3 linked regions of the Pelodiscus sinensis genome follow. The protein of the gene in region 1 interacts with the protein of each later gene in a biochemical or structural test. Links are inferred from orthologs where the notes say so. Each region holds a gene or a part of one and is shown in the gene's direction. Other genes may lie near its edges. The genes, in order: UBE2D3, TRIM25 and UBE3A.

Region 1 (3,747 bases):
TATCCTTCTGGCTGTTAGGCATAGGGACATCCATGGAGTTCCATGCACTGCCTCCAGCACCAGCTCTGCAACTCCATGAGCTGGGAACTCTGGCCAGTGGAAACAGCAGGGGCGGTGCATGTGGATAGAGGTGGTACATAGAGCTGCATGGCCAAAACACCATCTAGCCAGAGGGACATACTAGCTACTTCCCAGAAGCCACCTGAGGTAAGCACAACCTGGGGCTGTTACTCCAAACCATCTCCTACACTCTATGCCCCACGTTTAAGCTCCCTCCCACATGCACTGCCCTTGGCGTCACAACCCACTCTGCCTGCCCCAGCTTGGAAACTCTCCTGGCCCTCTGAATACTTTAGCCCCATCCCATCCTGCACCTCAAACTCCTCTTCCCCAGCCCCCCCCCCACCCGAGAGCCTACACTCCCACATTCCAGCCCGGCCTGCACCACCCTACAACCTGAATCCATTCCTCCCCCTCACCCGCCCACCCCACAGCCTGGGGCCTTCCAGCGCTCCGACCCGCTTCGCCTCAGACTCTCCACCTGGCTCTCACATCCCTCGTCCCCGGCCTGCGGCCTTGTCCCACCCCAGCCCGGTTACAGTGGGGGTGGGAGAGAGCGAGCGGGAAGAAGGCGGGGGACAGGACCAGGCTGCAGCGTGGGGCACGGGCCCTCCTCCTGCGAGCGGTGTCCCCGCAGCCCGGCCGGAGCGAAGCAGCAGTAACCGCAGGGCTGTGACGAGTGAAGCCAGCGGAGGACGAGCCCGACCTCGACGTGCTCCGCTGTGTCTACACGGACTTGGAAACACACCCGAGGGCCCGCGAGACAAACAGGAAGGGGAGGGGCATCCCTGCCACTCGCTCGCCCCCTCTGGCCTTACTGGGATCTGTTTCCCCTTCGCAGCGGCTGCGCGGAGGGATACCAGCGCCGTACTGCGCCTTAGCGATTCACGAACGTAGATCCGGTCGCGACGGCCATTTTGTGTACACGCACAGACGAACTCCCCTCCTCCCCCCCCAGAGGCGGGGACGGGCGAGTGACCACGACGAGCCGGGTACAACGAGAGACTCGAAGGCCCCGCAAGAGCTTTCGCTCTGGGGATTTCTCCATAACCGACAAACCGCCCACTCAAGCGTAGGGAGATGGGGGAAATTAGCCCGGTCTCGTACGCCGGAAGCCCCTGTGTCACAGCCTCCGCGAAGAGGGGGAGCACGCCCTTCTGATTGGAGAAGCGGCGTTCGGTCTCCGCCCCCAGATCTGGGACGCCTGCAGTCTTACTCTCGCGAGAGTCACCCCTCTGGCCTTCCCTCTTCTTCACACCCCACCCGCAACTATAGAAGGTGCGTGCACCGGCCTTGCACGAGCCTGGGGCTGTCTTACCCCCCCCCCCCCCACTAGTTTCAGTAGCGCGTGCGCGGATTCGCAGGCGGCAGCGGCGGTTAGCGCGTCCCTCCCCGCTCCAGTGAGAGGGAAGGGGGGGCTCTGGGCGAGGTTCCTTAGTGGCCCGCCCCGGGAGCGGGGGGCGGTGCCTGCTCGCCCCTCCTTTCTTTCTCGGCCTCGCCACCGGTGGTGGGAGTGCGCGGGGGCTGAGCTCGGTTTCTCCCGTGGTGGGGGAGGCTCAGCGCATCGTCTGTCCTCTCCGAGGCGGGCCGGCGGCGGTGGCAGCCAGGCGATCTCCGGAGAAGGGGCCGGACCCGCCCGTCGGGCGGAGGCTGTGGGCGGCTGCGCTCCCTGCGAGCGGGCGCCCCTGGCTGTTTCCGGAGGAAGGAGAGACGCAACTGCCCCCCCTCCCCGTCAACGCGAGCGGAGCCCGGAGTCACCGCGGCGCAGAGACAGGCCCGGCGGGCGGCGGCGGCAACACACACACAATGGCGCTCAAACGCATCAACAAGGTGAGCGAGGGGCGGGCCGGGGAGGCGGCGCTGGGGCTCGGGGTTCTGCGTCCCGCACCGCGGGGACAGGCCCTGTCGCCTGCGGTGTGCGCGGCGCCCCGGCTTCGGCTGGGGAGTGCGGGCGGTCTCCGGCCGGGGCGAGTGACTCCCTCCGCCCCGGTCTCTGGCGAGGAGCAGGGGGCCTAGCGGGCGGGGGGCGGCTGATCTCCTTCCGGGGCCCGGGCTGCCTGCGCGGGGCGAGTTGGGGAGGGGGAGCGATGTCGCCCCGGCGCGCTCTTTGTCGCAGACCCCGAGAAGGTCGCGGTGAACCCGCCGGCAGCCCATGGCCCCGCGGGGACGTGGTGGGGTGTCCGGAGGGCCGGGGCAGGGCCGCTAAATGTCAGTGTCATTGCGAGCCGCAGGGCTAATCGCCTCCATCTCTTGCGTTACCGCTCTTAGCGATGGCCCGACTGTGCTGTGGCTTTATTTACATCGCAGCGACAGCCCGGGCTGGGCTCGCTCCTGCCGAGGGGGCAATCCGCCTCCCGGCCAAATTGGTTTCTCTTCCCTGGCGTCTAACTTCTTTCCCGCATTGTAAGATGGCGGCGGGTTTGCCTAGTTCAGGCTCTTTCCGGGTCTCTTGCTTTCTGCAATAACATGACACACACACACGTCCACGTTCCCGTCGACTCTCTCTGAACACCAGCTGCTCCTATTCCTCTACGTTTACACTTCCCCTAGAAACCCTCGGCTTTCATGATGTCGTAGAGGGATGGCTTTTTACCTCATCCTTTTCTTTGGGCGCAGGACGTTGTTGTGTGATGTTTTGAGCATTTCGTTCTTGCACAATCCTGTAGGGTGGAGTAACTTTACAGCTAACTCAAAAAAAATGTTGAGGTGATGGAAGTTTAACCTTCCAGAGAGCAAGGTTAGTGGCAGAAGGTGGGTGTTAGGTAACTTATAAATCTCAATTTCAGTTGTGACGTTCCTGTGAACAATAATTTAGTGTTTAGTGCAGCATCCAAGCTTCCCAACAGTTGGGGTCCTAATGACAAGCATGATTACAGCTAAATAGCTTACTTAAGCTCTGAGTTGCTGTTGATGTGTACTTAAAAGCATTATGGCATTGTAAATATTTTGAGACTGGATAGATGATTTTCTCCTTGTCACTTTTCAGCTTGTCACCAACCAGAAACTCATAGTGCCTTGAAATGATACAATGAATATGTCAAATTGAATATAGTTGTTGGGGTTTGTCATATTTTTTCTTAGATATTACAGAAACTGGACATATTTTTACTAAAAGGAATATAACATTGTTGCTGTGTCTTAATTTACTGTTCACACTCAAGAATAACAAAACTCTTAAATTCAAAACTGTTAAGTTTTAAGTAGGAGAATGTGTAGATTTTAATTAAAATTATACTTTTACCAGAAACTATTTTGAAAGTGTTTTAAACCTGCCACCAAACTTGTTTTCACTGTAACTGTGGATGGTATCACTTACATTAAGAAGCAGTTGGGAGACTCCCTGATATGCTTTGTCACCAACTACTCATGCAGATGAGATGCATCCTTAACACAGACTTGTGTAGGTCTGAGGAATTTTTGAAGTATAAATCATTAAAATCTCAGATTTAGAGTCTCTTTTTAACTGGAGCCTTAGAACATATTTAAAAATAATTTGGTATCAAGAAGTCTATTTAGATTATAAAATAATAGGAGACAGTCCATACAATCTATAGTGCCTAGCAAAATGGGTCTTTATTCTTGATTGTTGTTCTTGATAATTGTTAGGCACTGTTGTAATAAACATGACTAATAACAAAAATATGTCCAGGGGCTCACATCTTCCTTGTCCAAGGTTTGTGGTTGAAA
Region 2 (3,747 bases), on another chromosome or scaffold:
GCTGGGATGATTTAACAAATGGTCTGGTAGCATTTTATAGACTAACAAAACGTATAGATGGTATCATGAGTTTCTGTGGGCAAAGCCCACTTCTTCAGATGACCGGAGTTCCAGTCATTTGAAGAAGTGGGCTGTGCCCAGGAAAGCTCATGATACCATCTTATGTTTTGTTCGTCTATAAAATCCTACAGACCATTTGTTGTTTTTTAAGTTTATCCTGTACTAACTGGGCTACCCCCTGAAGCTTCTGGGATGGTTTAGGTGGGATTGGTCCTGCTTTTAGCAGCTGATTGGACTCCATGACCATCTGAGGTCTCTTCCAACAAACATTTGAACTATCTCATTACCAAGATAGTTTCCCCAATTATCACCTCTAATACCATTAACTCACAAACATCCCACTCTCCCTACCTCTAATATCATCAATTCACAGACACTTTACCTTCCTTCCTTCTCCCCCCCTGTATTCCCCTCCTGTTCTGCAATGTGATTTGTCCTTTTCATATTTGTTCATTTTTTTTAATTGTATCCTTTGGTATATATGGTTGTGACAATTTTCTTCCACTATTTGATCTGAGGAAGTGGGTCTGGCCCACAAAAGCTCATCATTTAATAAACCATCTTGTTAGTCTTTAAAGTGCTACATTGTCCTGCATTTTGCTTCCGCTACCCCAGACTAACACGGCTACATCTCTATCACTATTCTTCCAACCCTGTGATTCTATGTAAAGAGGAAAGTCAATACATTGCAGAACTGCGCACCAGAAAATCCAGGCTGCGGAAGGGGGAGCGTAAATAAGCAGAAATGGGAGAAAGTTTGCAGCCTGAGCGCCTAGCAGGGAGGGGTTTGCTAGGGAGGCCCCCCCGCGCTGAACTTTCCCCCTTCCACGTGATTTCCAGGAACTTCCAGCTGCTCCGCCTCTGCTTTGAGTTTCACTTTCCATCCCCAGCTGCCCAGGTCGTGGCAGGAGCCATGGCGGAGCTACTGCGGGCGCCGTCCTTGCCCTGCCTGGCCGGGCTGGAAGAGGAGCTGACCTGCTCCATCTGCCTGTGCCTCTTCGACTGCCCGGTCACCACGCCCTGCGGCCACAACTTCTGCGGGCCCTGCCTAGATGTCACCTGGAGCGGCATCCAGCAGGGCTTCAGCTGCCCGCAGTGCCGGGCCAGCTTCCAGCGCCGGCCCGAGCTGCAGAAGAACACGGTGCTGTGCCGGGTGGTGGAGCAGTTCCAGAGCTCGCAGCCCGGCGAGCCGGCCGAGGAGAAGAAATGCCGGGAGGGGAGCGGCTCCGAGGTGCCCTGCGACACCTGCCTGGAGGCCGCGGCGGCCAAGACCTGCCTCACCTGCATGGCCTCCTTCTGCCACGAGCACCTGCGGCCCCACCAGGAGAGCCCGGCTTTCCGGGACCACGAGCTGCGCCTGCCCCTGCGCGACCTGCAGCAGCGCAAGTGCCAGCAGCACAACAAGCTGCTGGAGTTCTACTGCCCCGAGCACGCCACCTGCATCTGCTGCGTGTGCCTGGTCAGCCACAAGACCTGTGCCACCAGCCCCGTGCAGGAGGCCAAGGCGGAGAAGGAGGTGAGGAGGGATGGGAGAGGAGGGGGATGCCTGGACAGAGGTGCTGATCAGCACTGGCCGGGACCCTTCTCTGGAACCTCTTGCATGGGACTCCTAGCAATGTTCCCTCTAATCTCTCCCATCCCCGTGCGGAATAATTTTGATGCGCACCCAGGCATGTGCATGCACCACCAGTAGAAACACGCAGTCTCGCTAGTGAGCGCTCTGCTGATCAGCTGGGAGGTGTTGGGATCTCTCCTGAGTGACCCAGCTTACAGGGAACTCTGCCCCTGGGCTGTGTTTGCGCTGCTGTTCTCTGACTGCTCCCACCTACGGAACATCTGCCCTCTTTCTCAACCTATTTGATAATCAGAGAGCTCAGGGACTGGCCCCAGTCCATGGTCTGGCACTTGAGAGCACTGTCTTAGATCAGCATTTTTCAGCCAGGGGTCTAGGGTGGGGGGGAGCATGCTCTGAGCAGGATTCCAGGGGGCCACCAATCAGGGCAGGCATCAGACTTTCTGCTCTGCACCCCAGCAAGTTTAAAGCCCCATTGTGTGGAGCAGAAGCCTGGGACCCCAAGATCTACCAACTGGGTGCTGAAGTTGAAGTCTGAGCTATTCAGCTTTCGGGGTGCCCCCTGTGTTGTACTTGTCCTGCTTGTTATCCTCTATTGCCAGCCCTGGCTTTTATGTATTGAAAAATAGTTGTGGTGGTGCAGGTGGGCTGTGGAATTTGTATAGCTTGTTGGGGAGGGGTCAAAAAGAAGGTTGAGAATCCCTGTCTTAGAAGATGCACCATTCATCCTTCTCAAGATCCTGGACAGGCCTTAGGAACAGCAGATTGTGGTGATAGGGATTGCAGGCCCTAAAAGTACCATCAGGACCATACACAGACTTAAGGTGTGTCTAAACTACACCCCTCTGTCAGCAGAGGGATGTAAATTACACGTTTCGAAAGCACAAATGAAGTGGGGATTTAAATATCCCGCACTTCATTTGCATAATCGTGTCCTGGCGCAGTTTTGAACAAGCGCCATTTCGAAACGGAAACCGTGGTTTAAACGCAGTTTTTCCAAAACACCATGTCTAAACCGTGGTTTCAGTTTCGAAATGGCGCTTGTTCAAAACTGCGCCAGGATGCGATTATGCACATGAAGCATGGGATTTTTAAATCCCCGCTTCATTTGCACTTTCGATGTGTCTAATTTATATCCTTCTGCCGACAGAGGGGTGTAGTTTAGACGTAGCCTTAGTGTCTAACAAAACTTCAGAGGTCTGGCTTTTAAGTTGCACTGCCTGTAAAATGCAGGACAATGTAGCACTTTAAAGACTAACAAGATGGTTTATTAGATGATGAGCTTTCGTGGGCCAGACCCACTTCCTCAGATCAAATAATGGAAGAAAACAGTCACAACCATATATACCAAAGGATACAATTTAAAAAAAAATGAACACACATGAAAAGGACAAATCACATTGCAGAACAGAAGGGGGATGTGGGGGGGGGGGGGGGGAAGGAAGGTGAATGCCAGTGAGTTAATGATATTAGAGGTGGGGAAGGGGAAATGTCTGTGAGTTAATAGTATTAGAGGTGATAATTGGGGAAGCTATCTTTGTAATGTGTAAGATGCCTGTAAAATCTCTCTCTCTTCCTGTTCCTTTTCTAAGAGAACAGCTTGTGACCATCAGGATACAAGCCAGGCTCTGGAGCACATGGGCACAGTGGGAGCTTTGTATATGTGTGAATCAACCTAGTAGCAAATGAGGCTTGGATTATTCAGGCTTTAGCTGTTATGGGGGAAGTGGCACTGCTTTCGAACTTGGCATAGGAGGCCTCCGTTATTCTTCAGTGCTAAGGATGCCTAAGAGGGACAGTCTAATCCCAAGCTTGTAGGGAGCTATGTTAACGTATTTTAGCTGCTGGATCTTTGCGAGCTGTATTAAGGGCTTTTGAGGAGCGGGAGGAAGCAAGCAGTGCCTCTTTATGGTGGGCCCCGTGTGGTTGGAGCAGCTCCCTGCCCAAACTGCTCCAGCCCCTACCAATTAACCAACACTGATTCATTAAGGGTGAGGCTTACCAGTTAACCATTCACATCCCTAGTAATGATTGGGGTGGCCTCAATCTCATTCATAGGTTGCCCTTCTTATAACAGCACTCCCGGACCCAGCATGAGTTAGGACTTGTGTTGG
Region 3 (3,747 bases), on another chromosome or scaffold:
CACCTGAGCCCAGCACTCCCTAGCCTGGAGCCCCCTCCCTGAGCCAGCATCCCCTTCTCCTGCATCCAAATTCCCTCCCAGAGCTTGCACTTCTCACCCCTTCCCACACCCAAATCCCTCATTCCCACCCCAGAGCCCGCACCTCCTATCTCAACCCAGGGAGAGTGGATAAGGGCTGGGGATGGCAAGTGATGGAGAGGAGGGGAACAGAGCAATGAGGCCTCAAGAAAGGGGGGGGCGGGTCGTGAGGAAGGAATGTGATTTTCATGCATTGGTGGGGATTTTCCCTCCCCTCCCCCTTTTTTTTTTTGCTTAACAAACCTAGGGGCTCCTTGAAATTCTGGAAAGCTGAAAAGGGTTCCTCGGCCAAATAAAATAGCGAAACACTGGCCTGGCCTGGCGTGTCCCCAATCCCCCCTCCCCTCTCTCCCGCAACGAGGCCCATCCAGCACTTGTATGCGGGGGAGGGAAGGGCCCCGCTCTAGGCGCTGCTGCGCTCACTTCCCACGGCTGCAGCTACCACTTGGCGCTGCTGCTGCGCCGGGGCCCTGACATTTGCCGGCGGCCAGTGGCGGGATTGGACATGGCGGGGGGGAGGGGCCGAGTCTCCTGAGCTGCCCGATCTGGCAGCCCCCGGAGAGCCGCGCGGCGAGGCCGTTCCACGGGCGGGAGGGTGGAGGCGACACAAGGCGCGCGGGGCTAACGGTCGAGCTCGCGCCGCTGCAGCCTGTTCCGGCGCGCGCGCACGTCACACCCCTCTGCGCGGGGCGGGGTTTGGCACCTCCCCCCTTCCTTACCCCTCAGGGCCCCTCCCCCACTCCCGGCCCCGCTAACTAGGGGGGTGGAGGCGACTGTAAGCGCGTCTCCCCTGGCGGCAGGAAACTGCCCGACCCCAAGATGGCCACCGCGACACCCGGCAGGGCCAACTTCCGTGTCCTTCCCTCCTCCCCACCCCCTGTCCAATGGGAAAGGTGGGGGACTCTATGGTTCCGGGCGGAAGGTAGAGCGTCCTGATCAGGAGCGCGGCGCACGCCGGGATACCCTGCTATGCCCGCGAGTCCTCCGAGGCTGCGCCGCGCCGATATTCGCGTTTCGCCCAAGATGGTGGCGCTGGGCTCGGGGTGAGAGAGGCTCAGAGCGGGCCCTGCCCACCTCCCCGGCCGACCGCCGCCACTGCCAGACCCCCAGCCCGCCCCGCCGGCCTCGCCCGCCCTCCGGAGCCGCCGAGGCCGCAGCTCCCGTCCCCGCGGCGCAGCCCGGCCCGGCCCAGGCAGCAGCGGCGCCGCCTCCCCCGCCCCGAGAGCAGCGCGGGCCCCGCATGAGCCTGGGGGCAGCAGCTGCAGCGTCAGGCCCGCGCCGGGGAGCAGGCCGCAGCGCACAGGTGCGTAGCGGGGCGGGGGGAGGCGCGGCCCGGAGACGGGCGCCGCGGGGCCCAGGCCCGCGTGTCCCTGCTGGGGCAGTTTCGCTTTCGTCGCTGGGCTTTGCAGGGAGGCCTCCGCAGTCGGGGTGGGGCGGGGATGGGGCGGTCGGCGGGAGATGGGGCTCAGTGGTGGCCCCGAGGCCGGCGGGTGCGGGGGTAGAGTGCGGGGTGTCCGGGGGTACATGATGTAGGAGATCTCCCAAACATGGGGCTGCTGCTTTGTGACTGGGGACGGGGGGTGAAGTGGAAGCACGACCCAGTGCTTTGGGCAGTAGCTGGGGCGACTTCAGGGCCCTGCTCTGTCACCCACTTCCTGTGTGACCTTGGGCACGTCACTTAGCCTTGCTGGGTAAGTCTGTGCGGCCTTTTGGAACTGACCAGGAGCAAGCGTCCCAGCCCGGGAGCAACAGGCTTTGGATAGCAGGGCTTGTTCTGGTGCTTTAAAAACTGCTGCATAGACAGTGCTTAGAAGTTGTGGTGTGGGCTGAAGCTGGGTTTTTGACACCCTGGCCTCCACCCTGACCCCGGGCTTCACAGCATTGTCCACTCACCTACTTTCAGTCTGTGAACCCAGGCCATGAGGCTTTCTTCTGTGGGTTCCAAATTATAAAGAACTGAGACACAATCTTTAAAGTACAACTGCTAGAGCTATAGACAAACTTTATTAAATTGATCAGTTGTGTGTATGTAAACTATAAACACAAACCTTAAATGCTGATCTTGTTAAGGTTGTTACAGCTAAGGAAAGCTTTCCTATACTTTCTTAGTAATTTTGTCTTGAGGTTGTAAGCATCTTTGGGCTGGAAATGTGTTCTGGGCATCACTATGTGATCTGACACCTGTGTGTATGGACTTCAGTGGGCCTCTGTGTACACACACACAGGCCTGCTAGAATCAATTTGCTGGATCTTAGTCTTATTGGTACAGGACATCAAACCTAAGGTATCTGTGGCGGGGGGAGTGGTGGAGGAACAGTTTTAGGGCAGAAATCTTGATGGGTTTTTTTATTGTATTTTATTGAGACGTGCCAAGCAGTTTTTGTGTGCTACCAGATAGAACAAGTAATATAATACATCATGTGAACTGAAAACACAAAAAAGCTGGGAAACAGAATCTGTATCTATTAAACCTATCATTTTATGATACTATGAAAATGTTTATTAGTGTGTGTGAACTGTAATCACATTTATCTTGTAACTTAAATCTCTCAAATGTTTGTATATGAAATTAATTTGAATGACTTTCCAAAATAACTTCCATCATATTGACTTATCTGAATATGCAGATTTTAATTATTTCTAATTCTTGTCACTTTTATTTGCACATTTCTGTCAGAATAACTCTAGTTTTGTGCCAACTGTTCTAATATTAAACCACTCTTAAAACAATTGATAATGATATCATAAGGTAATCTAGTGCACTACTCATCACAGTGGAGTTTAAAAGAAGATATTTGTTCTGTCTACATTTCTGTTTTCCATCACTACAGTATTAATACCTCCCAAAAAATTTTAAATTAAAATGCATAAGAATGGTAATACTGGCTTACACCAGTTATCCATCTAGCCCAGTATCCTATCTTTTAACAGTGACCAGTGTTCAGGTGCTTCAGAGGGCATGAACAGAATACAGGTGTCCCCCAACTTGTGACACAGTCAATTCCCGGGGAAGTGTCACAAGTCGGGGGCATCATAACTCAAACCCTCATTTGCGATAGGTGCTGTGTGCCATCGTAAACGAGGGGCTGAGGACAGACCTCTGGGATTTTCAGCCCCCTCCACTCTTACAACCATTTTTATAAGTACAGGGGTTATAACTTGGGCGGTCGCAACTTGGGGGTTTCCTGTAGATAATCAAGTGATCCCTTTGATGTCTTCTGTTCCCAGCTTCTGGCAAACAGGCTAGAGCCATTTAAGGGCATGATATGCATACCTGCTCAGCCATTGAAGGACCTCTCCATGAAATTATCTTGTTCTTTTTTGAATTTTGTTTTATTCCTGGCTTTCAAAATCGTTTGGCAGAGAATTCCACAGATTAACTGTGTTGTGTGAAGAAATCCTTCCTTTTGTTTGTTTTGAACCTGTGCCTCTTAATTTTATTTGGTGACCCCTAACTCTTGTGTTATGAGGAGTAAATAATACTTTCTTATTTATGTTCTCCACGGCAATTTTATAGACCTCTATTGTATCCCGCCTTAGCTATCTCTTTTTCAAGTTGAAAAGTACCAGTCTTATTTTTTTTTCTTTATGTAGAAGCCCTTCAATTACCCTAATAATCTTCGTTGCCATTTAGGGGTGTGAATGATGAACTGGTATGCATCACTGTTA

Evidence for each region.
Region 2: the proteins of UBE2D3 (region 1) and TRIM25 form a complex in vitro, tested with the Homo sapiens proteins (3 studies listed by BioGRID). The link is inferred for Pelodiscus sinensis from reciprocal best matches to the Homo sapiens genes UBE2D3 and TRIM25.
Region 3: the proteins of UBE2D3 (region 1) and UBE3A form a complex in vitro, tested with the Homo sapiens proteins (5 studies listed by BioGRID, with this or other methods). The link is inferred for Pelodiscus sinensis from reciprocal best matches to the Homo sapiens genes UBE2D3 and UBE3A.

The regions. Positions count from the first base shown.
Region 1 is NC_134715.1:25,177,654-25,181,400, reverse strand, and holds the start of UBE2D3 (ubiquitin-conjugating enzyme E2 D3), read left to right. Parts: upstream 1-1,362; 5' UTR 1,363-1,866; coding exon 1,867-1,890; intron 1,891-3,747. UniProt on the Homo sapiens protein: Accepts ubiquitin from the E1 complex and catalyzes its covalent attachment to other proteins. In vitro catalyzes 'Lys-11'-, as well as 'Lys-48'-linked polyubiquitination.
Region 2 is NC_134730.1:18,912,020-18,915,766, reverse strand, and holds the start of TRIM25 (E3 ubiquitin/ISG15 ligase TRIM25), read left to right. Parts: upstream 1-869; 5' UTR 870-973; coding exon 974-1,576; intron 1,577-3,747.
Region 3 is NC_134711.1:227,996,112-227,999,858, forward strand, and holds the start of UBE3A (ubiquitin-protein ligase E3A), read left to right. Parts: upstream 1-1,009; 5' UTR 1,010-1,381; intron 1,382-3,747. UniProt on the Homo sapiens protein: E3 ubiquitin-protein ligase which accepts ubiquitin from an E2 ubiquitin-conjugating enzyme in the form of a thioester and transfers it to its substrates.